Cricetulus griseus: one gene and its partners. The main gene of each other region encodes a partner of the protein of the gene in region 4 in a complex. Links are inferred from orthologs where the notes say so. Each region holds a gene or a part of one and is shown on either strand. Other genes may lie near its edges.

Region 1 (5,592 bases), on a different chromosome or scaffold from region 4:
GCCTGACAAAGGCACCAGGAACTGAACGTGGTTCCTCTGCAAGAGGTGCACACAGTCTTAACTGCTGAGCCATCTCTCCAGACCCATCCAGACATTTGAAAAGTACAGGCATATAATGTATATGTTTAGAACTTACGGTTAAGACTTAAATGCCATATTCACTTTAGATACCATTAAAACTTAATGGAACAGGCCAGGCGTTGGTGGCACACGCCTTTAATCCCAGCACTTGGGAGGCAGAGGCAGGCGAATCTCTGTGAGTTCGAGGCCAGCCTGGTCCTGTCTCGAAAAAAAAACAAAAACAAACAAACAAATAAACCAAAACAGAACAAAAACTTAATGGAACATAGATGGTATGCAACTAAGTTACCCAGCACCCTCAGAGTATTGAACATGTGGTTAGTGCTTCATAAATATCCCTAGGCTAAACCCCTGTCAACATTTTTAATTGCTTAGATTTCAAAATGTGGCTTCATGACATCAAAGCACAAACATGTTTTTTTAAAGATTTATTTATTATGTATACAGTGTTCTGCCAGCATGTATGCCTGTATATACTTAATATTTAACCTTCACGACCAGATTTCACATCACTATATTTGAAAACTCCTTCAATAATTAGCAAAATATGGCTTGTAAATAGCATCAAATATTTTAAAACTATTTTTATTAATAAAATATAGCAGATCCTTGAATTGTATATATCTTCACTAATATAAAAACATTTAGGACAAAAGTATCTGTTCTGTTTCATTTATGTAATTTCTTTACTTGATTTTCCTCAAAATTATCTGTGATAAATACCTAGCAAAAACAGCAAGTTAAGGAAGGAAAGATTTATATTAGCTTTCAGTTCAGAGAAATTCAGCTCACGGCGACGGGGAAGACACGGAGGCACTGGGGGGCCGAATGCTGTGTCTGGTTGACCCCCTTTGCACTCAAACAGCACAGCCTTCGCATCCCCCCATGGGCCAGGGTCACGCTGGCAGTTTGGATGGTGCAGCCCCCATCAGTAAACAACGCCAAGAGAGTCAGACAACTGAGGGCCCTAAGCTAAGCATCTTGAAAGCGACTTGATAGCCTCTCTCTGTGCCTGCAGCAAATACATTGTGCGGACATCCACAGCCCATGCGCCTGCCAGAGCCTCTTCCCTCTGCAGCTTCAACAGGACAGCGTGGGAAGATTATGGTGCAGGTCCTCAGTAATGATTCCGTTATCACCCACTTTGAGATACTCACACCAACACAAGCACACAAATGCAACTGTTATGAAGACAGAGTAAAACCATCCTAAACTAGGGTTCAATCCCCCAACCCCACAAGAAGACAAAATCCAAAAAAACTTATGTGAAACATTTCTAAAATGTCAACCAAAGTAAATGCCCTCATAAAATGGACACCTAATTACCAGTCCTCTCAAGAAACAGTATATAATCAGAAATTGGAAAGGGAGTTGATCAAAACCCTAGGATAAAAACCATAGATTTTGTCACATTCATAGTATCTGTCAGCACCTTTAAACGTGCCTTTTGTTGGAATTTATGAACCCTGGCTTTCCTGACTCCTTTCGGGACAGTTATTTGGCGCTGTCTTTCTCTCAGCCCTTCCAAGCTGGCGACCCAAAAGGATGGGGACAGGGACCGCCTCCGGGACCCCGCGGGGACACGCAGGCAATTCGTCCAGGCGCCTCTAGAGGGCGCGGGAGTGCCTCATGGGGACGCAATGCGCATGTTCCACCCTCTCCGGCTGCCCTCCCTCCTTCGTTTCCGCCGGAAGCGCTCCCTGGGAGAGGCGACCGGAAGCACAGGCAGGATCGGTTGCGTAAATACGTTTGAAAGGCCCTATCAGCGCGACGGGCGGCCCGTTTGATCTGTGCGCCGGCTTGGACTGTGCGGATTCCAGGCTGTGAGCGGCCTGCGCCATGGATCCTAAAGACCAGCCGGATAACAGGCTGCTGCGGCATCTCCAGGAAAGCCGGAACCGTTTCCAGACGTTCATGCATCGGCTGATAGCGAAGGTGGGCTGGGCTGGGCTGGCCGAGGCGGGCAGCGGGCAGCGGGCGCGGGCAGCGGGCAGCGGCAGCGGCAGCGGGCGGGCGGGCGGGGATCCAGCGCCGAGGATCTGATCAGCAGCTCTCTTTCCCCGCAGTACAACCAGCCCTTTGAGGACGACCCTTTGGTGCAGATGTCCACGCTGACCTACGAGACGCCCCAGGGTACGGAACCTTCCTCCTCTTGGCAGTGTGCTAGAATGGTGGGGTCTAGAATTTGCAACGCGGCACTTGTTCCCCTCACTTTGCAACCGTGAGTTGCTGAGTTCCAAGTCATTTCTCTAAAAGCAATGCCCGGAGACACAGATGCAGCCTGAGTTTTTAAACGCCCGGCGCGGAAGCCCGAGCTAATTGCTTAAAGGCAGCACAGTGTCTCCGTAAAGTAAAAAGGACGTTGACAACCATGGGTACCGGAGTGCCTGCAAAGCCATTGGAACTGCTCGGCTCTCACGAGTTGTGCTGTGTAACTCGGACCCATCTGTTGTAGACAGTCCATCAGTCTGCCTCTCCGGAGCCATTTTATTAAATGTTGTGGACTGCCTTAAACCTTTGTTTTGTTTTGTTTTGTTTTTTCGAGACAGGGTTTCTCTGTGTAGCGTTGGAGCCTATCCTGGCACTCGCTCTGGAGACCAGGCTGGCCTCGAACTCACAGAGATGCGCCTGCCTCTGTCTCCCGAGTGCTGGGATTAAAGGCGTGTGCCGCCAACGCCTGGCACCTCTTGCTTGGATTCTTTAACTGGGGTGTGTTTGCATTTGATGAGGTTAGTTCCTTCCATAAGACTCATCATTTAGTAATAAAATCTGATTTCACATCACAGTCTGCCAAGAGTCTATAGAACCCACTCTTTGACAAGTGCAGTCTTTGCCCTTTGTCTTTTTGACTGTTCAAGGCACATGTTCAGTGAAAGTTTTACACAGAAACAGAAATAATACTGCAGCAGGTTGTTTTTTTGCTCTGGGTGGGATCTGGATACAGTAATACAGGGGTCTTTGAGGGTGCTGTCTGTCTGTAGGCTTCTCTGTGTTCTTGTGACTGTTCATGCAGGGGTGGGCAGCGTCTGGAATGTTTTGGACAGTCTATCTATCTTGAATAACACTCATTTTGTCCATGAAAACCTGATGTCAGTTATATGAGAACAACAGTGAAGTATCTGAAGAGTTTGAGACCATCCCGTGTTGGCATATAAAGGGCCCTCCCTGAGAACTGGCCAGCACATGGACTCCTAGGGCTGCAATTGTTAATAACTCTGCATCCTAGCAAGCTCGTAGCTTGTATTCATGCCATGAGTCCCAACGTCCCATTACTTAATCTGAGAGAGTCTTTGGCATGGCCTTTCCAAAGATGCTCCTGACCCTCCCTGTGCAATAGCATGAACCCCCATCAAAGACAGTGATTGTGGCAGCAGCAGCAGCAGGAATAGATTCATTTGCCTGTGTTGATGGTTCACCTGTGCCTGCACTTGTGAAGTTGTGAAGTCCAGTTTCAACCCTGCAGTAGAAGCCCCTTTTAAAAACCATTGCTGTCAAAGGTAGATTCCCACAGAGAGGGCCACTCAGCCAGGGCAGCAAAGCCTCAGTTTGACTCATGAACCCATATACTCAAGCATCGCTGTCTTCTGGAAAGACTGTGTTGTACAGTGATCAAGTGCAGTCAGCACCTCCCAGAAGTCACGTGCTGGCTCCTCTACATGAGTGGAGAGCCTGGGCTAGTCGTCTGAACTTCCTTTTCCTTTGCGTGTCTGTCCACAGCAAACATGCTAAGTCTCTGTTCCCCGTGGGCTTCTGGGTGGGTGTAGGAGTTACATGCAGATGGGTTGTGGGTACTAAATGGTGTCTCCTTGGTAAAAATCTGGAGCATAGAGAGTGCTGTGTAAATTTTTTTATGCTTCTGTTATAATACAGTCATCTCATACCTCAAAACCCACCATTCTTTCTTAGTAACTTTAGAAGGAGTATATTGCACAGGTTCTGCTAGCTAGTGAGTGACAGGGACGGTGCACTTGAACTCCAGAGTTCTCTGTATGCAGGCTTCTCTGTATTAGGCCAGTAGATTGCCCTAGGAAAGCCAAGGATGGGGTACAAAAAATGCCCTGTAAAAACCCTTGTTCTAAGCCAGGCAGTGGTGGTGCACGCCTTTAATCCCAGCACTGGGGAAGGCAGAGGCAGATTTATCTTTTTGAGTTCAAGGCCAGCCTTGTCTACAGAGTGAGTTTCAGAACAGCTAAGGCTAGACAGAAACCCTTGTCTCAGGGAGGGGGTGGGGAATGCTTGCTCTGTAAATGTATGGTATATGTGCCCCCTCTCCAGTCAATATGCATGTAGTATGTATTTAGAATATGAACTGTCCTTAGCGCTTCAGGTTAGTGCTGAAATCAGGTAAGCTGCTGCCTTCTGGGTAGGAGAGAATTGTCATTAATGATAGGTTTGTCCAACACTGCCAAAACCTGGATTGTTTTTAGTGTACAGCCTTTTGTGCCATCCAGCTTGGTTTTCTGTCAGTGCAACTGAGCATTTTGGATTCCTTCAATTGTCATCTTCATTTTTTTTTAAGGATTGAGAGTTTGGGGAGGAAAGTTGATAAAGGAAAAAAGCAAGGAACAAACTCAGGTAATTATCGTCAAGTTTACCTTTAATGCTTTACTGTAGTGTTGACTAAATCCCTGTGTGAGTGAGCCCTGAGGCCACTGCTGAGAGCTTCGAGAGACCCACCTCAGGTATTTCTTCTGTTGCCTGGCTCTTGTGTGCTAAATTTTCTCCATCGTAGTTCACAGGGCCCTCAGAACCGTCTCATGTGTGCCGATGCTGGACCAGATTGGGGACCTGCAGACTGTGTACTAGACCAGCTAGAGACTCCTTTGTTGGGGCCTTACAAAAAAAGACCAAATCTCATTTCTTTTGATAAAAACAATGGCCCTTTCATCCTCTGAAACCAGGAAGCAGAAGGATGAAGAGGCGAGAGTGCAGAATCACACACCCTTCTGCAGGGTTTCCCTGCACCAGGGCTCTACAGCTAGTGATTGAATACTGGTTTCCTGGATGGCATCAATAGTTTGCCTTCCTGCTGTGAGACTGTGTGGTTTTTTGCCCTGGTAATGACTATAAGACTGTCTGGTCTAAATGAATCTCGGGCAACCATGGTTCCTGGGGAAACCTTTTACCCACAATGGAACATCAAGATTAAGGTTACACAGCATTAATAGAAATTCTGAAACTGAGCTTCCTTGGTTGATTATTATAGCCATAGGAAGGCTAGAACACTTGGGTTAGCTGACTGCTGTGCATGTAATCACTGATACCATTTTAGTTCCTGTCTGTAAATGCACCTCATACACCTTTCTAGTTCATCAATAATGGGATCCTTGTCTTCACCAGCTGTTGTATAATCTGATTGCCTTTTTGTTTTTTGAGACACAGACTCACACTGTAGTTCAAACTAACATGGAACTTGCTGTGTAGCCCAGGCTGGCCTCAGACTGACATCAGTCCTCCTTTGGCCTCCTGGAATGCTAGGATTACAGCCATGTTCCATAGTTGTCTTTTTTT
Region 2 (4,994 bases), on a different chromosome or scaffold from region 4:
CACTCAGGATGGTTTCCTCTAGTTCCATCATTTGCCTGCTAATTTCAAGATTCCATTGCTTTTTTCTGCTGAGTAGTACTCCATTGTATAAATGTACCACATTTTCTCAATCCATTCTTCAGTTTAGGGGCATCTAGGTTGCTTCCAGGTTCTGGCTATTACAAACAATGCTACTATGAACATGGGTGAACATATATATGTCCTTGTTGTATGAACCTGCACTATTTGGGTATATACCCAAGAGAGGAATGGCTGGATCTTGAGGTAGACTGATTCCCATTTTTCTGAGCAACTGCCATACTGATTTCCAAAGTGGTCTTACAAGTTCGCACTCCCGCCAGCAATGGAGGAGTGTTCCTTTTTCGCCACATCCTCTCTTGCATAGATTGTCATTGGTGTTTTTGATTTTAGCCATTCTGACAGGTGTGAGGTGGTATCTCAGAGTTGTTCTGAGTTGCATTTCTCTGATGGCCAATGATTTTGAGCACTTTCTTAAGTGTCTTTCAGCCATTTCAGATTCCTCTGTTGAGAATTCCCTATTTAGTTCTGCACCCCACTTTTTAATTTCATTGTTTGGTGTTTTGGTGGCTAGCTTCTTGAGCTCCTTATATATTTTGGAAATCAGTCCTCTGTCAGATGTGGGATCGGTGAAGATCTTTTCCCATTTTGTGGGTGGTTGTTTTGTCCTACTGACTGTTTTCTTTGCCTTACAGAAGCTTCTCAGTTTCAGGAGGTCCCATTTATTAATTGCAGACCTCAATGTCTGTGCTACTGGCGTAAAGTTCAGGAAGCGGTCTCCTGTGCCAATTTGTTCAAGGGTAATTCCTAATTTCTCTTCTAGAAGATTCAGAGTGGCTGGATTTATGGTGAGATCTTTGATCCATTTGCACTTAAGTTTTGTGCATGGTGACAGGTATGGATCTATCTGCAATTTTCTGCATGTCCGAATCCAATTGTACCAGCACCATTTGTTGAAGATGCTATCTTTTTTCCATTGTATAGATTTAGCACCTTTGTCAAAATAAGGCATTCGTATGTGCGTGGGTCAATATCAGGGTTTTCAATTCGATTCCATTGGTCTATCTGTCTATTTTTGTGCCAATACCAAGCCGTTTTCAGAACTATGGCTCTATAGTAGAGCTTGAAGTCGGGGATGGTGATACCTCCAGAAGATCCTTTATTGTAAAGAGTTGTTTTGGCTATCCTGGGTTTTTTATTTTTCCATATAAAGTTGAGTATTGTTCTTTCAATGTCTGTGAAAAACTTTGTTGGAATTTTGATGGGGATTGTGTTGAATCTGTAGATTGCTTTTGGCAGGATTGCCATTTTTACTATGTTAATTCTACCTATCCAAGAGCATGGGAGATCTTTCCATTTTCTGGTATCTTCTTTAATTTCTTTCTTTAAATTCTCAAAGTTCTTATTGTACAGGTCTTTCACTTTTTTGGTTAGTGTTACCCCAAGATATTTTATGTGGCTTTTGGATATTGTGAAAGGTGATGTTTCCCTGATTTCTTTCTCATTGGATTTATCATCTGTATATAATAAGGCTACTGATTTTTTTGAGTTAATTTTGTATCCTGCTAACTTGCTGAAGGTGTTTTTCAGCCGTAGGAGTTCCCTGGTAGAGTTTTTCGGGTCACTAATGTAGACTATCATGTCTGCAAATAGTGAAAGTTTGACTTCATCCTTTCCAATTTGTATTCCTTTGATCTTCTTTTCTTGTCTTATTGCTCTAGCCAGAACTTCAAGTACAATATTGAAGAGATATGGAGAGAGTGGACAGCCTTGTCTTGTTCCTGATTTTAGAGGAAACGCTTTGAATTTCTCTCCACTTAGTTTGATGTTGGCTATTGGTTTGGTGTATATTGCGTTTATCATGTTTAGATATGTTCCTGTTATTCCTGTTCTCTCCAAGATCTTTATCATGAAGGGATGTTGGGTTTTGTCAAAGGCTTTTTCAGCATCTAGCTTTCATGCTTTGAACTGTTTCAAGAGCTTCCTTCACTTGTTTGGATGTCTTTTCTTGGGTTTCTTTAGATTCTTTAAGAGATTTGTTTATTTCTTGAATTTTTTGGTTTGTCTTTTCCTCCATTTCGCATAATTTTTTGTTTGCTTTTTCTTCTATTTCTTTAAGGGATTTTCTTGTTTCCTCTTTAAAGGTCTCTATCATCTTGCCGAGATAATTTTTGAGGTCCATCTCTTCTTCATGCTCTGTGTTGGGCTTTTCAGATCTTGCTGGAGTGGAGTCCCTAGATTCTGGTCGTCTGAGAGATTTGTTGATATCTTGTATTTTTTGGTTTGTTTTTTCTTCCATTTCTTTAAGGGATTTTTCTCATGTCCTCTTTGAGGTTCTCTATCATTTTCCTGAAGATGTTTTTAAGGTCATTCTCTTTTGCTTCATCTGCATTGTGATGTTCAGGTCTTGCTGGTGTATGATTCCTAGTCTCCGGTGGTGTCATATTGGGTTTTCTGTTGTTGGATGTGCTTTTACCTTGTCCTCTTCTCATCCTTTCTTCTCGTGGGTGTAGCAGGAGTCTCTTGCTCTCCTGGTGGTTATGGGGCTAAGGTTCCCTTCTGGTAGATGGGATATCCAATACTCTTATGACTGTCCTTTTCTCGTGGATGGAGTTGGAACTGCCACTGGGGCCTCTGGAGGGTCTGGTGTGTCGGATTCCGCCACCGAGTTCTGATCTGGGCCAGTGGATGGAGGCAGAATTGCCACGGGGGCTTAGCTGTATGGGATCCCACCACCAAATTTGGATCCGGTGCACGCTGAGCAGTGACATGTTTTTTACTTTTTGATTTCCTTTTACATTTCTACCACAGTTCTCCCTCCCACCCCTCCTCCAACCCCCTCACTTTTTCCCATCTCCCCTCAACTCTCCCACCCCCCCCCCCCAGTCCATTCTTCCTCATGGGTAAAGGCTCCTATGAGGAGTCAATATAGTCTGGCACAATAAGGTTAGGGGCAGGCCCCCTCTCCCATGCATTAAGACTAGGCATGGCATCCCACCATAGGGAGTGGGCTTCAACAAGCTAGCTCATGTATTGGGATTATATCATGCTCCTACTGCCACTGAGCATGACATTTCACCCTAAGGAATAGGCTCCAATAAGCTAGCTCATGTACCAGGTTTGTATCATGGTCCTCCTGCCAGGGGCCCCTCAGAAAGTCCAAGCTAACAACCGTCTCCCACATATGGAAGGCCTAGTTCGGTTCCCTGGAGTCTCCACAGTTGTAGGTCTAGAGTTCATGAGTTTCCAAGAGCTTTGTTCAGCTGTCTCTATAGATTTATGTTAACCCTTTGATGTTCACAGAAGCTGTTTGAACATAGGTGTTGGCTCATTTTTACAGAAAGGAAATGGAGGCTTAGAGAGCTTAAGTAGTCCAAAGTCATGTAATTTATGAGCCAGGCAGAATAGGACCTTTACCATCCCAGCTCCAGAGTCAGTCATCTTCACCCTGTGTAATAGAACTTCCTATATGTACGTATGGTCTAAATGGCTCTTAGAAAAATGCTTATTCACTAAACACTACTATTGCAGTAGGGTTTCCCATGTGTAACCCAGCTGGACTTCCAGTTTGTGACCCTCCTTAGTTCCCTACGTGCTGAGATGACTGTCACAGGCTGGTATACATGTTTAGCTTGTGATTGCTTTATATTTGTATTATTGTTTTCCCCCTAGATCTTATAAGACCACGAGATACATACCAGTTTTTCGTGGAGCAACATGGTTTGAAAGTTTTTAAAACATTGGATACAGCATTTTTTTCTACTGGAAAATTGGTTTTAGGACCCTATGAAGAAAAAGGAAAGCAGCATGTTGGCCAAGATATATTGGTGAGTATATTTCTCCATTTCTGCTTTTCTAGAAGTACAACTGATTCTTTTTCTCAGATGATGCATTAAAATTCTATTTACTTGGTAGTGACATCTTATTGTTTATTACATAAAGAAATCTTTTCCTTTATTAAATGTGTTTCAGTTAACCAGTCAGTAATTATTTAAAAATACCTGTACTGGGCATAGCACAACCTTAGGTTCAGTGGTTTATGGTGTCATTGTTTCTTAAGAGAATCTTAGAATATAGATTTGCTAATAAAATTGAATTTTAGAGCTGAAGATTATGGAGGTTATGTCTTGTGAACTTCTGTAATCATATGGTTGAGGATCAGAATAGTTAAAAAATGACTTAACTAGTTAAGAGTGCCCTTCAGACAAAGGGCTAGCTGCTCCATTCAGTACCAATAGGCTATTGTACTTGACAGGGTCTGAAGTTACAATGAGATTTATGATGAGTTGGTATGTCTCACTCTTTTCCTTCCTCTCTCCCTTCTTCCTTTCTTCCCTTCCTCCTTTCTTCCTAGCCCTTTGTCTCAGTATCTGCTGTATACACATGTCTGCTGTGCATGTTCTTGAGTGGTAATAACTTTCCTTATCTCTGGTTCATCATTCCTGTTGACAAGTGTGTTATCCAGAAAACATGTAGCCTTTGAAGAAGCTTGTATAACATTTCTCTTTTTTTAGTAAAGTTTACTGGTAATGCAGTACTGAATTTTCATGACATTGAATGAACAAAATTGAATTCATATTAGTTTTCTATTATTGACCTAACAAAGTACCACATACTAGTGGCTTAAAGCAGTTACCTTCAATTATCTCTCTTTGCATAGTTATACATGTGACAGGCTTGATTGTATAGTATATTTGTTCAGAGTATCACAGGTCTGTAATTAAGATGTTGACAGGTTTGCTTCCTTTCCTGAGGATGACTCTGTCCACTTCCCCCCAGTTTTATTGGCATTGTTGGGAGAATTCAGTTCCCATGTGGTTATAGAACTGGCATTCTCATTTTTCTCAGGAGGTTGGCATCTTTTACAAATAGCCTGATCCTTGGCTTGTGGCTCCTTCTTACCACCAGGAAGAGGAGAAAAACCTTATGATTAAAATTGCTTTTCTGCCTCATTTTTCTATTACCCCCCTCTTGCT
Region 3 (5,769 bases), on a different chromosome or scaffold from region 4:
TGTGAGGTCATCCTGTGCTATGTGAGATCATGCATTGACAAATAAGCAGATAAAAATAGAAATCAGGAAATCATGGTGCCCCACCCCTTCCTCAGGACTGGCGTGGAGAGATGACATGGACTGCAAGAACATCCTGATGAGGATATGTTAGTCAGAGGAAACATCTCTAGCTTCTAGATGTTACGATGTTGTCAGTCTCAATTATGCCACATGAGCTGGGGCACCCTGTCCTCAAGGCTCCACGTCTCAGTTTCCTCCTTCCTGTCATGTGCTGTGTTTTAAGCGGGATCATTCCGCCATCACAGGAACTGGGAGAGTGGGGAAGCACCTAGAATAGGGCCTGTCATGGGGTTGTGTACCATAAAGGGCATGCTATATTTATGTGTAATGGTTAAAAATAGTTCATTTCTCCCTCAGGGCCTAGACTGCAAGCCTGGTTACTTGGTCACTCGGAAATGACCCATTGCATTTCACCTTGGGCACACATATGTACACATCTGCACCAGTTTTCCTGTGCCATCTCCTTGTAGACGAAGAGGATGTGTTTCTTATCTGTCCATCAAAAAGCCACACAGCTGGGGTGACTAGGGCAGAACCTGGGTATAGGTATTGGAGCTCAGTTAGGCCACAGTTGTGTGCATACAAACCTCAGCTTTGTCCTGGCCACAGGGCCAGGCTTAGGCAGCTCCCAGCTCTGCCTGCCGGTACAAGATCATGGCTTTCCTGCCTAGGGCAGACCACTGGAGCCAAAGGAATGTACTGAGGGAATGTTACATATCAATAAGTGTCCAACTCTAGTCTAAACTTTTTTGTAACGATTTACTTATTTTTATTTTATGTGCATTAGTGTTTTTCCTGCATCTATGTCTGTGTGAGGTGTTGGATCCTCTAGATCTAGAGTTACAGTTGTGAGCTTCCATGTAGGTGCTGGGAATTGAACCTGGGTGAGGCATCTCTCCATCCTCCTAGTCAAGAACTATGTCAGGAAGGGTTCTGAGGCTCACACAGAAATGTGCAGTAATGGATTAGTATTGTCTGGCATCAGTACAGATGGGACAGTAATAGTATGCTTGCTGTGTATGCATGTTCTCTGGTCCATCTATCCATCCTTCCCTAAATTAATTTATTGAGACGGTGTCTCACTGCATGATCCTTGGCTGTCCTGGAACTCACTATGTAGACCAGGCTATCCTCCAATTCACAGAGTTGCCTGCCTCTGCCTCCTGAATGCCAAGACTAAAAATGTGCACCACTGGGGCTAGAGAGATGGTTCAGAGGTTAAGATCACTGGCTGCTCTTCCAGAGGTCCTGAGGTCAATTCCCAGCAACCACACGGTAGCTCACAACCATCTACAATGGGATCTGATGCCCTCTTCTGGCCTGCAGGCACACATGCAGACAGAACACTCATATCTAAAAAAAACATAGTTTTTTTTGTTTGTTTCTTGTTTTGTTTGTTTGTTAGTACATCACCACTCCCAGCTCTCTAGTCTTTAAACTCCCAGACAGTGCTCTTCACCCTTGCTCTAGCCTATTAAACCTGCTGTTTCTTTCCCCCCTCTATTAAGAGCTCTCTAGCATTCGGGTTCAGGTAAGCATCATAAGTGCCCCAGGATCTTTCTTGCTTCCATCCCATTGCCTTTTAGTTCGTATTTGATACAGAGTAAACTTCGTAAGTGGGTAATGATAGAACATGAGAGAAGGATGCAGCGATGGGTGGATTTATAACAGGATCTGAACTGAAGGGCTGAATCTCAGGGTGGGTAGCTGTATGGTTATACAGACAGATGTGGATGGAACCTTATGGGTGGCCTTATTACTCTGGTGATTGGTGCCCTGGGTTTATAAGTGAAAGAAAGTATAGTTGCTGGGCAGCTATAACCAGGGGGAAATTGTGGATAGATAGAAAACTGGCTGTCGGGGGCAGTTAAAGGTTCATGGCCAATAGATGCCCTGATGGATAGATGTGTGAGAGATTTACAATAGCTCGTAGTTCATGCCTAAGGCACATGCAAGGATGAATAGGTCGATGGATGGTAAATCCACCAATGAATGACTGGAAATGAGGGAGCAAAGGAATGCCTTCCCGCTCCCATAACTCATGGGTTGGGGAGATGAGATGGCTTAATGGGTAAAGGTGATGACAGGTAAGCCTAGTGGCCTTTGTTTCACCACACACACACACACAACCCACGTGAAGGTGGGAGGAGAGAGCCAACTCCACAAAGCTATAGCACGTGTGTCCTCACAACTTCTACTACTCACGCGTTGGCCTTTCTGGCTGTGATGAATTCGCCTCTTGGGAGCCCCGCGGTAGGCTTCTTTTTAAAACTGTCTTCCGAGTGCGACGGTTGGTCCCTTGAAGACAAAGAGCACCACTCCAGCAGCAACCAGGGCAACCCCTCCTTCACCAAGAATGTGTCTCCACTTACCACAGGTCTGGGAGGAATGAGCAACTGGGATTGCGCAAACCTGGGTAGAATGAGCAACTGGGATTGCGCAAACCTGGGTAGTGCTCTGACGCACCCTTGGGGTACTGTGGCGCTGAGGGTGCTGGAAGGAGAGAAGAGAAGGAAGAAAGGGAGAAGGAAGAAGAGGAGGAAACCCAGTGAGCTGGGGATGGTCCTCACTGGGGAGGGACCCTAGCCCGGGACCCTAGCCCCACACCTTATGCCACCCCACCCCAGTTCCCATGGCCTCACGGTGCGCCTGGGGCTCTGTGTACTTGGTGCGCAGATGGTGCAGGAAGTCGCGGAATTTGGTGGGCAGAAATTGCCCCAGAAGTGTGCCCACGGATACAGCCGGCTGCCGTGTCCCCCGGGCCCCCGCCCCCCGGGCCGTGCTGTACGGTAGCGGCGGCAGCACCAGCGTTCTCAAGGTCCCGCGGCTCCGCGGCCCATACGGGACCCCGGGGGACAGGTAGGGCAGGCGATCGCTGTTCTGCCACCACGCGCCGGCTGAGCCTCGCGTACGGGAGTCGGACGTGAACAGCCGAGGAAGCAGCGGAGTGGAGCGGCGTGAGGCGGCCCGGTCGGTCCACCCCTTGGGCACGTAGACCGGGGTCCCCGCTGCGGGCTGGCGCCGGTACATCGTGAGTCCGAGCTCAGCTCAGGACATCTTCGCGCCTGGGGGACGCGCGGGGGCAAGGGGGACCGCGGGGAGGTCGCGCACCAGCCCGCAGGCCATAGCGCCTGGTAGGGGCAGCGACCCGGCTCCGGCAGTACCCTCCCCTGCTGTGTCTGCGCTCAAAGACTGCGAAGGCGAGGCCAGCCCTTTGGGGGCGGCTGTGACGTTGATGTGAGCTAGTACATGCCGGGCAACTGGCACAGTGCAGGGCGTGGGCACCTGCTGCCTTTCTTATTTAGCATAGTTGGGAGAGGGCTTGACTAGAATGCTTGAAAAACTGAGCGTGACAGCCCATGCTTGTGGTCCCAGAATTTGGGAGGTAGAGGCTGGAGAGATGGATCAGTGAGAGGGCCCGGGTTCGATTCCCAAATCCTGCCCCAGCAGTGAGTACAGCTCTCAACCTCTAGTCCCGGGGGGGGGGGGATCTATCACCCTCTTCTAGTCTCTGAGGGCACCAGGCACACATGTGGTGCACAACTATGTAGGCAAAACACGCATATACATACATTTAAATTTTTCTTAAATTTAAGGCTATTGCCAGATGTAGTGGTGCACACCTTTAATCCCAGCACTTTGAAGCAGAAGCAGGTGTATCTCTGAGTTCAAGGCCAACCTAATCTACAGAGTGAGTTCCAGGACAGCCAGAACTGTTACAGAGAAACCCTGCCTCTCTGTTCATTTTGAGGAAGGGTCCCCCTAAATGGCACAAGCTGGCCTAGACTCCATTGACCCTCTGCCTCTGTTTTCCAAATTCTGGGATTACAAATGTGGACTACCACCTGCTGCTCATACCTGACTGAAGGCCACAGAGGAAGGAGGCATGGGAGGGCTGATCTCCTACTGGCTGTAGACTTCAATGGGAATCGGGCAGCCTGCTCTCAGAATCAGAGCAAGCTGCAAATACACATGGCTTTCTCCCACCTCCTAGCCTAGATTCTGACAGGGGGTCTCGGGAGAAGCCAAGACCAGTTTTACTGCCCCCCCCCACACTGTTGGGGATGAGACAGAGACAAGTGCTCCACCATCAAGCCACATCCAAAGTCAAGACACATTTTGATCAAACTCCCAATTAGGGAGGAAAGCCTCAGTCCCCCTTCATCTCTGATATTGGTGGTTGGCAGTGGGGGGCTGCAGTCTCCAGGACTGCTTCTTCCCCAAGCATACCCTATTCTCAGATTGTCATCATCAGCTCTAAACTGATTTCTGGGAGACATCTCACTCACCTTGTAGGGTATGCTGGGTGAGGCCCTGGAAGGTCCTGTGAGTTTAGAGCCCCCCAACAGGTGGGCTATTTGCTGGGAGAGCCCATCTTTCCACCTGCTGCCTCTGGTGGCCCCTCCCAGGTGCCTGCAAGTCTTCTTGGAGTGATTGTGATCTGGCTCCACTTTCACCCATAGCTACTGGAGAGCAATGGGCAATGTGGCCTGGGGACAGAGGTGGAGCTTGTGTGCCCTGGATGCCACAGCCACAGCCACAGCCACACCCATACCCACAGAGGCCTTGGTACTCCTGGCCAGGGCAGCCATGCTTAATCCAGAGAGGAATAGGCCAGTTTCAGCTACTTTTCCAGACCCAGAGTGGCTATACTTGGCTGAGTGGGAAGGACAGGACTTCTTCCTGTCAGTCTCACCCTCATAGGACAGGAAGAACACAGTGGGCCTAGAAACCCACAAAGCAAGGTTAAGTTCATTTTCTGCTTCTCTTGGCTATATGATGCTAATGGGTTTTTAATTCTGGGAGTTCCATGAGTCAATAGGATAGGTAGATGGATGAGCCCGTGAGTTGTAGTTGGGAGAGACCTGGAGGAAGCCCATGAGAGTGTAGAACTCAGGTTGGGGGTTGAGGGTACAGTGGAGACAAGTATATGCAGGTATGGTACAATTTTATGGTTTAAAAAAAGTGAGTATCACTCACATGCCCACAGGAGGCGTCATGAAAGATTTTCTGCGACTTTCTTCAGAGGGATAGAGGCACATATTTCCTCAGGAAGTTAGAATATTGAGTGGGAGACATAAACTAATTTCTTTTTTGTTTTTTTTCTAAGACGGGGTTTCCTTAGCTCTCAAACTCACTAGTCAAGGATGACCTTGAACTCCTGATCCTTCTACCAAGTGAAGGATACCTCCCCCTCCTAAGTACTGGGATTGCAGGCATGCACTGCTGCAACTGGTTTCATGTGGTGCATGCTAGGCGATCACTTTACCAACTGAGTTATGTCATTATTGTATAATTACTTAAAACTATGAGTATAGGTGTGTATCTGTGTGTGGGCATGTGCACTTGGAAGCCACAAGTGAGCGCTGACTCCTCTGGAGCTGGAGTTACAGTGTTTGTTCTGAGGACTGAAGTCAGATCTTCTGCAAGAGCAGTATGTGCTTGTATCTGCTTTTATGAGCAGCCCCCAAACCTGCATATTATTATTATTATTAATTTTGAAACATGCTTTCACTATGTAGCTGTTGATGTCCTGGAACTCACTATATAGACCAGGTTTGCCTTGAACTCACAGAGATGTACCTGCCTCTGCCCCATGAATGCATACACACACAAGATTGCATTTGTGTTTGAGTCCTTGGAGTGCTGGGATTAAAGGCTGTGCTGCCACCCTACCTACAGCAGGTACTCTTAACTCTGAGCCACAAG
Region 4 (5,846 bases):
TAACAGTTGCTAAGGATGCGGATTTCTTCAGTCCATGTTGAACTAGATAACTGGAGGTGGAAGGTGGGATCATCTTTCTGTGATTTGACCATACCTTAAAAACTTAGAACCCTCCTTTTCTCTTTTTTATAGTAAATATAAAATTTTGATGGCATTAAGAGCATACATGTGATACAACCACAACTGTCATCAGTCTATAAGGCTGCTTTCACTTCCCAATTGGAAACTCTGTCCCCACTCAACAATAACCCCATTATCCACCCTCCCAGCTCCTGGAAACCACCATTCTACTTTCTCTCAATGAATTCAACCACTCTCATACCTACCTCATGTCAGTGGAATCATAGACCAGTGATCTTTTTGTGACTAGCTTATGTCACTTAGCATAGTGATTTCAAGGTTCATCCATGCAGCTTATGTCAGAAATTCTTCCCTTTTTAAAGGTGAATAACACCATTGTATATTCATTTTCTCTATTCATTTGCTGATGGACACTCAGGTACTTTCCACTGATTGGTCATTGTGAGTAAAACTGCTATGAATGAATGAATATATATATATATATGTATGTATGTATGTATGTATGTATGTATGTATTCCTACTTCTGGTTCCTTTAGATATATAACATGGACCTCTAAGTCATATAGTAATTCTTTGTTTTGTTTTTTGTTTGTTTGTTTGTTTGTTTGTTTGTTTTTCAAGACAGGGTTTCTCTGTGGCTTTGGAGTCTGTCCTGGAACTAGCTCTAGTAGACCAGGCTGGTCTCAAATTCACAGACATCCGCCTGTCTCTGCCTCCTGAGTGCTGGGACTAAAGGTGTATGCCACCACCGCCCAGCATCATATAGTAATTCTATGTTTAAATTATGTGTTTGTAGGTAGCATACTGAGGATTGAACACAGAACCTTGTATATGAGGCAAGTGCTTTAACATGAGCTATGTCAGCCTTTGTTTGTTTGGTTTTTTGTTTGTTTGAGACAAATTTTACTACATAGGATGACTAGCCTAGAACTCACTAAGCTAGGCTGCCCTGAACTTAGAGCAAACCTCTTGCCTCTACCTCCCAAATGCTGGAATTAAGATCCACAGATGAAGTCAGGGCACCTATGGCCCCATCTCCCAAAGCCCCCACCCCTGAGCACTGCTGCACTTGGGACCAAGCTTCTGTAGGACATTTCAGGTTCCAGCCATGACACATTTCCATAGCAGCTGCACCATTTTACACCACCCACCCCAGTGTTGCAGAAGGGTTCTGTGAAACCACTGATTATATAAGGAGATTCTTGATTAGAGTACACGTTCATGGTAGAGCATTTAGAAAACTCAAAAAAGCAAAATGACGAAATTGAAATCCTCTTTATTCTAATTGCAGAGATATGACCCGAATTCATATTACTCCCAGGAGAAAGGGAAAAGCTGTTTTTTTTTTTTTTCTCTGACAGTTCTGTCATGGTGTTCAATAGTATAGTCCAGGAACAGTGCTGGCTCGTGCCCTGCCTGGACCTTGTCCTCAGATCCCATCGTCCTGGCTGTCCCCTCGACCCTAGAAAAGTTCACGGTGTTAACCTGGCCTCTGAATCCTATTTGCTGGTTGCTCTCGGGAGGGTCCCTCCCGGGAGCTGTGTGGAGTGTCACATTTTTGGGCGGTCTGTTTCTCCATTCTCAAAGCCACACCAACGTTGATACGAAAGCGTAAAACGTTTGAGGGAATGAATTCTAAAAACTCACCACCTACATCAGACTGAGTTGTCCTTTTGCCCAGAGGGCACCAGAGCAAGCTAGTCGGGTCAGTCAAAGATCAACACGCAAAATGTGAGAAAGCCCCGCCTTCCTTAGCTTCTCCAAGTGCCCATTGGCTGACTCTGCGGCCAGACCCTCATTCTCACTGGTCCTTGTGGCTGTCGCTCCACGGTGGCGTTCCAGAGCCAGCCACTGAGAGTCACGGAATTGGGGATTTAAAAAATGCGGTAGGCGGGGTGGGTTTTTTTCAAACTGATGGCGGCCGAGCTCCTGCGGCTCTGACACGCTCAGTCACCTCGCTCTCTCGTCGGGCTTAGCGGAGGCGGCGGAGCTTGGACCCACTCGCGGCCAACCATGGGCCCGCGCCGCAAGCCGAGGACCCCGAGAAGGCGCCCCTCCAGCCCGGTCCCCGGACCCTCGCGACGCAGCTCCCGTCCAGGTAAGCGGGCCTGCCGGAACCTCAGCTCTGAGGGTGCTGGGGACGGCCGGCTTGAAGAGGGTTCCGAACCCGGGAAACCACAGGCCTAAGGGTAAGGGTGCTGAGAACACAGCTCAGGCCTTCTGGAAGAGCGACAAGCGCTGTTTAACTGTTGAGCAAGCTTTCCAAGCCCAACATTTTATTATTTTACTAGCATACTTGGTCTCCCCAGCCTAGTTCAAATCACTGGCGTTTCTTCTGTCCTCCCTTGACTCACAGTTGAGAGTTCTGTCCACGGCCATTTGGGCTGGAGGCATGGGGCAGACGTGATGCTGGGGGAAGCTGAGAGTTCTGGATCTGGATCTGGAGGCAGCAGGAAGTAATGATGACACACTGGAGCTTCTGAGACCTCAAAGCCCACCCCTAGTGGCATGCCTCGTCCAACAACGCCACATGTCCAACTAGTGCCACTCCCTATGGGCCTGTGGGGCCATTTTTTCAGACCAGCACATTATTATTTACATGTGTTCATGTTTGCCTGCATTTGTGTGTTTATGTGTGTGTACACGTGTGCACGCACACCAAACCTAGAACCTCTGCAAGAACAACAAATACTCTTAACCAATGAGCCATCTCTCCAGCTCCAATTTTTATTTCTAATCATATGTATATGCACCGTAGTACAGGTGCCCAAGTCATTAGTGCCCCCTGGACCTAAAGTATAGGCAGTATGAGCCACCTGATGTAGGCGCTAGGAGCCAAACTTGACTCCTCCTTAACAATGATACACACTCTGACCACTGAACCATCTCTAGCTAGGCCTTAATTCATTTGGCATTCTTGTTTTCTACTAGATATGTTTGCCTCTGGTGCTTTTAGTTGTTTTATGTTTTGTTTTGTTTTGAAGGCGGGTTTCTCTGTGTAGCCCTGGCTGTCCAGGAACTCACTCTGGAGACCAGGCTGGCCTCGAACTCACAGAGATCCTCCTGTCTCTGCCTCCCGAGTGCTGGGACTAAAGGCGTGCGCCACCACCACCTGGCTCTTTTAGGTTTTTAAAAGTAAATTTTTATATTATTCATCTTAAATAGTCTAATATCAGTTAAGTTTCCTCTTCAACATTAGGGTTAGATGTATTTTTTCTTTGTGTTTCAGGGGTTTGAACCTGTGGCTTTGTGCATGTTGATCAAGCACTTTACTGCAGAGCTGCATCTCTAGAGCAGAGGGTTTTTTTTAAGTTTGGTATTTTTATTTTCTAGTGAGAATTTGAATTTTTACCAAAGGCTGTGGCTTCACAGCCCGCATTCCTAGCATTAGCACTGAATTATGCCACTTCTAAGGTCCCAACTTGGCCTCTAATGAGCACTAGCCAACTATCTTTACTTCCCTGGGCCCAAGACAAGCAAGATAAGAGATCCGTACTAGGTAGTATCTCATTCCCTCCAGCTGTTACAAAGAAAGAAAGGACCTAAAAACTGAATAACGAACTTGGAACATCTAGGTGGGAATGGGAAAGATATGAAATGCATGGGACCCAACAGGAAGGATCTGTTAGGAAGGAACTGGGATTTGAGAAAGGCTTCATGGAGTTAACACTCCAACCCAAAGGCCCAGACTGCACTCACTCTCTTAGTAAGCCTGTGGTGAGCACCTGTGTGTCTTTTCACACTCAGTGTGTGGCAAGCACTCGTGTGCTCTTGCTGACTCCACCAACTAGAAAAAAGAGAATCCCTGCTCTGTGGAGTATAGTGGCAAGGTTTGTCTTCAGCTGGGCCACAAGGTACCACTTATTTCCACAGCACTTCCCTTATGACCTAACTCTCCTCAGGTAAGAGGCGGAAATTTCTGTGGCTTAAGGAGATAAAGAAACTGCAGAGGAGCACCGACCTCCTGCTAAGGAAGCTTCCTTTCAGCCGAGTTGTGAGTTCTGGGGACACCCTCACTCTGCCTTGGACCACCTTTGCTTTAAGCCTCCCACATATGGGAGATTTCTGCTTCTTGCTGATGTGGATAAAGGTTGCTTCTAACCCTCTGGGGCGCTGCACATCCTCGGTTTTTCTGTTGCTGATTTCTCATTACTGTAGTAGAGCCCTCTCACCCAGTTTCCCTCCATACCCTGGAGATTGCCTTTTCTTCTCTCCACCCATAAGCTATGCCAGTTAAAGCTCCCAGGAGTCCGCACCTACCCTGAGCCAGGCCCTTAGATCAAGGGCAGCACATAATGGTGGAAGTGAGGATGCTTAGAGATACTTGGAGAAAGACCATCTACTCTTTGATCACTCTGCTATTCTCAGCTCATCCCCACCCTGCTCCTCCACAGGTAAGAGAAATATGTGGGAAATTCACTCGAGGTGTGGACCTATGTTGGCAAGCCCAAGCCTTGTTGGCCCTTCAAGAGGTAAGAAGGAGTAGGTATTGGTAAAGGCTAAAAGGGGGAAGAGCATCCCAGAATTCCACAGGACGGCATAAGGGGTGGGTACCACAGACTGTTCCTGGCCTCCTGAAAAGAGTAGCCAATGGGCAATACCTGACAATTTGGGAGGGTCTGATGGGTGGCCATTGGGTTCACCCCATTCTTTACTTCAGTCCTTTGAGTCAGTATGTCTCCAAGAAAAAACAGTCCAGGTCCTTCATCCATGTCAGTCTTTGTGTCCCAGGCAGCAGAAGCATTTCTAGTTCACCTCTTTGAGGATGCCTATCTCCTCACCTTACATGCCGGCAGAGTCACTATCTTCCCCAAGGACATACAGCTCACCAGGAGGATCCGAGGCATTGAGGGAGGACTTGGCTGAGCTGGCAGTGTGCTGTGTGTCCGTAAGTCTTTCCTGCTCGAAGTGAGTGCTGCTTGTTGCTGGGAGTGGATATTGGTCTGAAGGGGAGAGTGTCATGCATCCTTGGTCCCTTGCCAACACACCTATTTGTTCCCTAATTAAGGTCTGGCCTTTCCCAACTGCTTGGGAGGCATGTGTCATGGTTCGTGTCTTTTTGTACAATGTTAAAATAAAAGCTGGATGTAGTGAGTGGTTCATGCTTGTAACCCCAGTACTTGGGAAGCCAAAGCAGGAGGATAAGGATTTCAAGAACATGTGAGCATCTCACTCACTCAAGTGCCAGGCAGGATGCAGCTGGCACTGCATAGTGAGAGCCTTCTTCAAAAAGAAGGGGAGATATGAGCTGTGCTCCATATAGCTGGTAGTACGTCTTGCCATTTACAAGGACTGGGTTCCCCCCCCCCCTTTTTTTTTGTGTGTGTGTGGTTTTGGTCTTTGGTTTTTGTTGTTGTTGTTGTTGTTTTCTTTTCAAGACAGGGTTTTCTCTGTGTTGCTTTGGCTGTCCTGGCACTCACTCTGTAGACCAGGCTGGCCTCGAACTCACCGAGATTCACCTGCCTCTGCCTCCCGAATGCTAGAATTAAAGGTATGCACCACTATGCTTGCCCTCAAATTCCATAATTTTAAAGAAAATTTTTCTTTTAAAAATGCCTTGTTAATAAATAAATAAATAAATAAATAAATAAATAGAAATGCCTTGTTAGGCTGGGCATTGGTAGCGCATGCCTTTAATCCCAGCACTCAGGAGGCAGAGACAGGCTCTGTGAGTTCAAGGCCAGTCTGGTCTACAGAGCAAATTCTAAGACAACCTCCAAAGCAATACAGTGAAACCCTGTCTCAAAAAACAGGGGCTGGAGAG

Evidence for each region.
Region 1: the proteins of Cenpa (region 4) and Hjurp are in contact, whole or in part, in a crystal structure (PDB 3R45), measured with the Homo sapiens proteins. The link is inferred for Cricetulus griseus from reciprocal best matches to the Homo sapiens genes CENPA and HJURP. Residues at the interface, in NP_001800.1 of Homo sapiens: Lys64, Leu65, Ser68, Arg69, Arg72, Asp83, Phe84, Asn85, Trp86, Gln87, Ala88, Gln89, Leu91, Leu92, Ala93, Glu96, Ala97, Ala100, Phe101, His104, Glu107, Asp108, Leu111, Leu112, Leu114, His115, Ile132, Glu136; in NP_060880.3 of Homo sapiens: Glu14, Asp15, Leu18, Lys21, Leu22, Ser25, Arg26, Arg28, Phe29, Arg32, Met33, Leu36, Lys39, Tyr40, Pro43, Phe44, Thr47, Pro48, Val49, Val50, Gln51, Met52, Ala53, Thr54, Leu55, Ile65, Trp66, Gly67.
Region 2: Cenpa (region 4) and Cenpc share a complex: the UniProt entries of both Homo sapiens proteins name them as parts of the CENPA-NAC complex. The link is inferred for Cricetulus griseus from reciprocal best matches to the Homo sapiens genes CENPA and CENPC.
Region 3: the proteins of Cenpa (region 4) and Ntmt1 are in contact, whole or in part, in a crystal structure (PDB 5CVD), measured with the Homo sapiens proteins. The link is inferred for Cricetulus griseus from reciprocal best matches to the Homo sapiens genes CENPA and NTMT1. Residues at the interface, in NP_001800.1 of Homo sapiens: Gly2, Pro3, Arg4, Arg5, Arg6, Ser7; in NP_001273725.1 of Homo sapiens: Tyr19, Trp20, Met30, Leu31, Gly32, Tyr34, Ile37, Trp136, Asn168, Ile175, Asp177, Asp180, Asp212, Glu213, Ile214, Tyr215.

Annotation. Positions count from the first base shown.
Region 1 is NC_048595.1:439,835,634-439,841,225, reverse strand, and holds the start of Hjurp (Holliday junction recognition protein), read left to right. Parts: upstream 1-1,800; 5' UTR 1,801-1,920; coding exon 1,921-2,016; intron 2,017-2,147; coding exon 2,148-2,214; intron 2,215-4,600; coding exon 4,601-4,656; intron 4,657-5,592. UniProt on the Homo sapiens protein: Centromeric protein that plays a central role in the incorporation and maintenance of histone H3-like variant CENPA at centromeres.
Region 2 is NW_023276807.1:151,258,314-151,263,307, reverse strand, and holds part of Cenpc (centromere protein C), read left to right. Parts: intron 1-3,690; coding exon 3,691-3,845; intron 3,846-4,994. UniProt on the Homo sapiens protein: Component of the CENPA-NAC (nucleosome-associated) complex, a complex that plays a central role in assembly of kinetochore proteins, mitotic progression and chromosome segregation.
Region 3 is NC_048599.1:142,487,424-142,493,192, forward strand, and holds the start of Ntmt1 (N-terminal Xaa-Pro-Lys N-methyltransferase 1), read left to right. Parts: upstream 1-2,413; 5' UTR 2,414-2,416; coding exon 2,417-2,437; coding exon of another isoform or gene 2,438-2,553; exon of another isoform or gene 2,554-2,608; intron 2,609-2,702; coding exon of another isoform or gene 2,703-3,090; exon of another isoform or gene 3,091-3,238; intron 3,239-3,380; exon of another isoform or gene 3,381-3,509; intron 3,510-5,769. Other genes in the region: CUNH9orf50 (uncharacterized protein C9orf50 homolog), read right to left, coding at 2,266-2,358, 2,433-2,553, 2,703-3,090. UniProt on the Homo sapiens protein: Distributive alpha-N-methyltransferase that methylates the N-terminus of target proteins containing the N-terminal motif [Ala/Gly/Pro/Ser]-Pro-Lys when the initiator Met is cleaved.
Region 4 is NC_048600.1:13,681,788-13,687,633, reverse strand, and holds the start of Cenpa (histone H3-like centromeric protein A), read left to right. Parts: upstream 1-2,004; 5' UTR 2,005-2,095; coding exon 2,096-2,180; intron 2,181-3,984; coding exon 3,985-4,076; intron 4,077-4,476; coding exon 4,477-4,554; intron 4,555-4,813; coding exon 4,814-4,948; 3' UTR 4,949-4,970; intron 4,971-5,846. UniProt on the Homo sapiens protein: Histone H3-like nucleosomal protein that is specifically found in centromeric nucleosomes. Replaces conventional H3 in the nucleosome core of centromeric chromatin that serves as an assembly site for the inner kinetochore.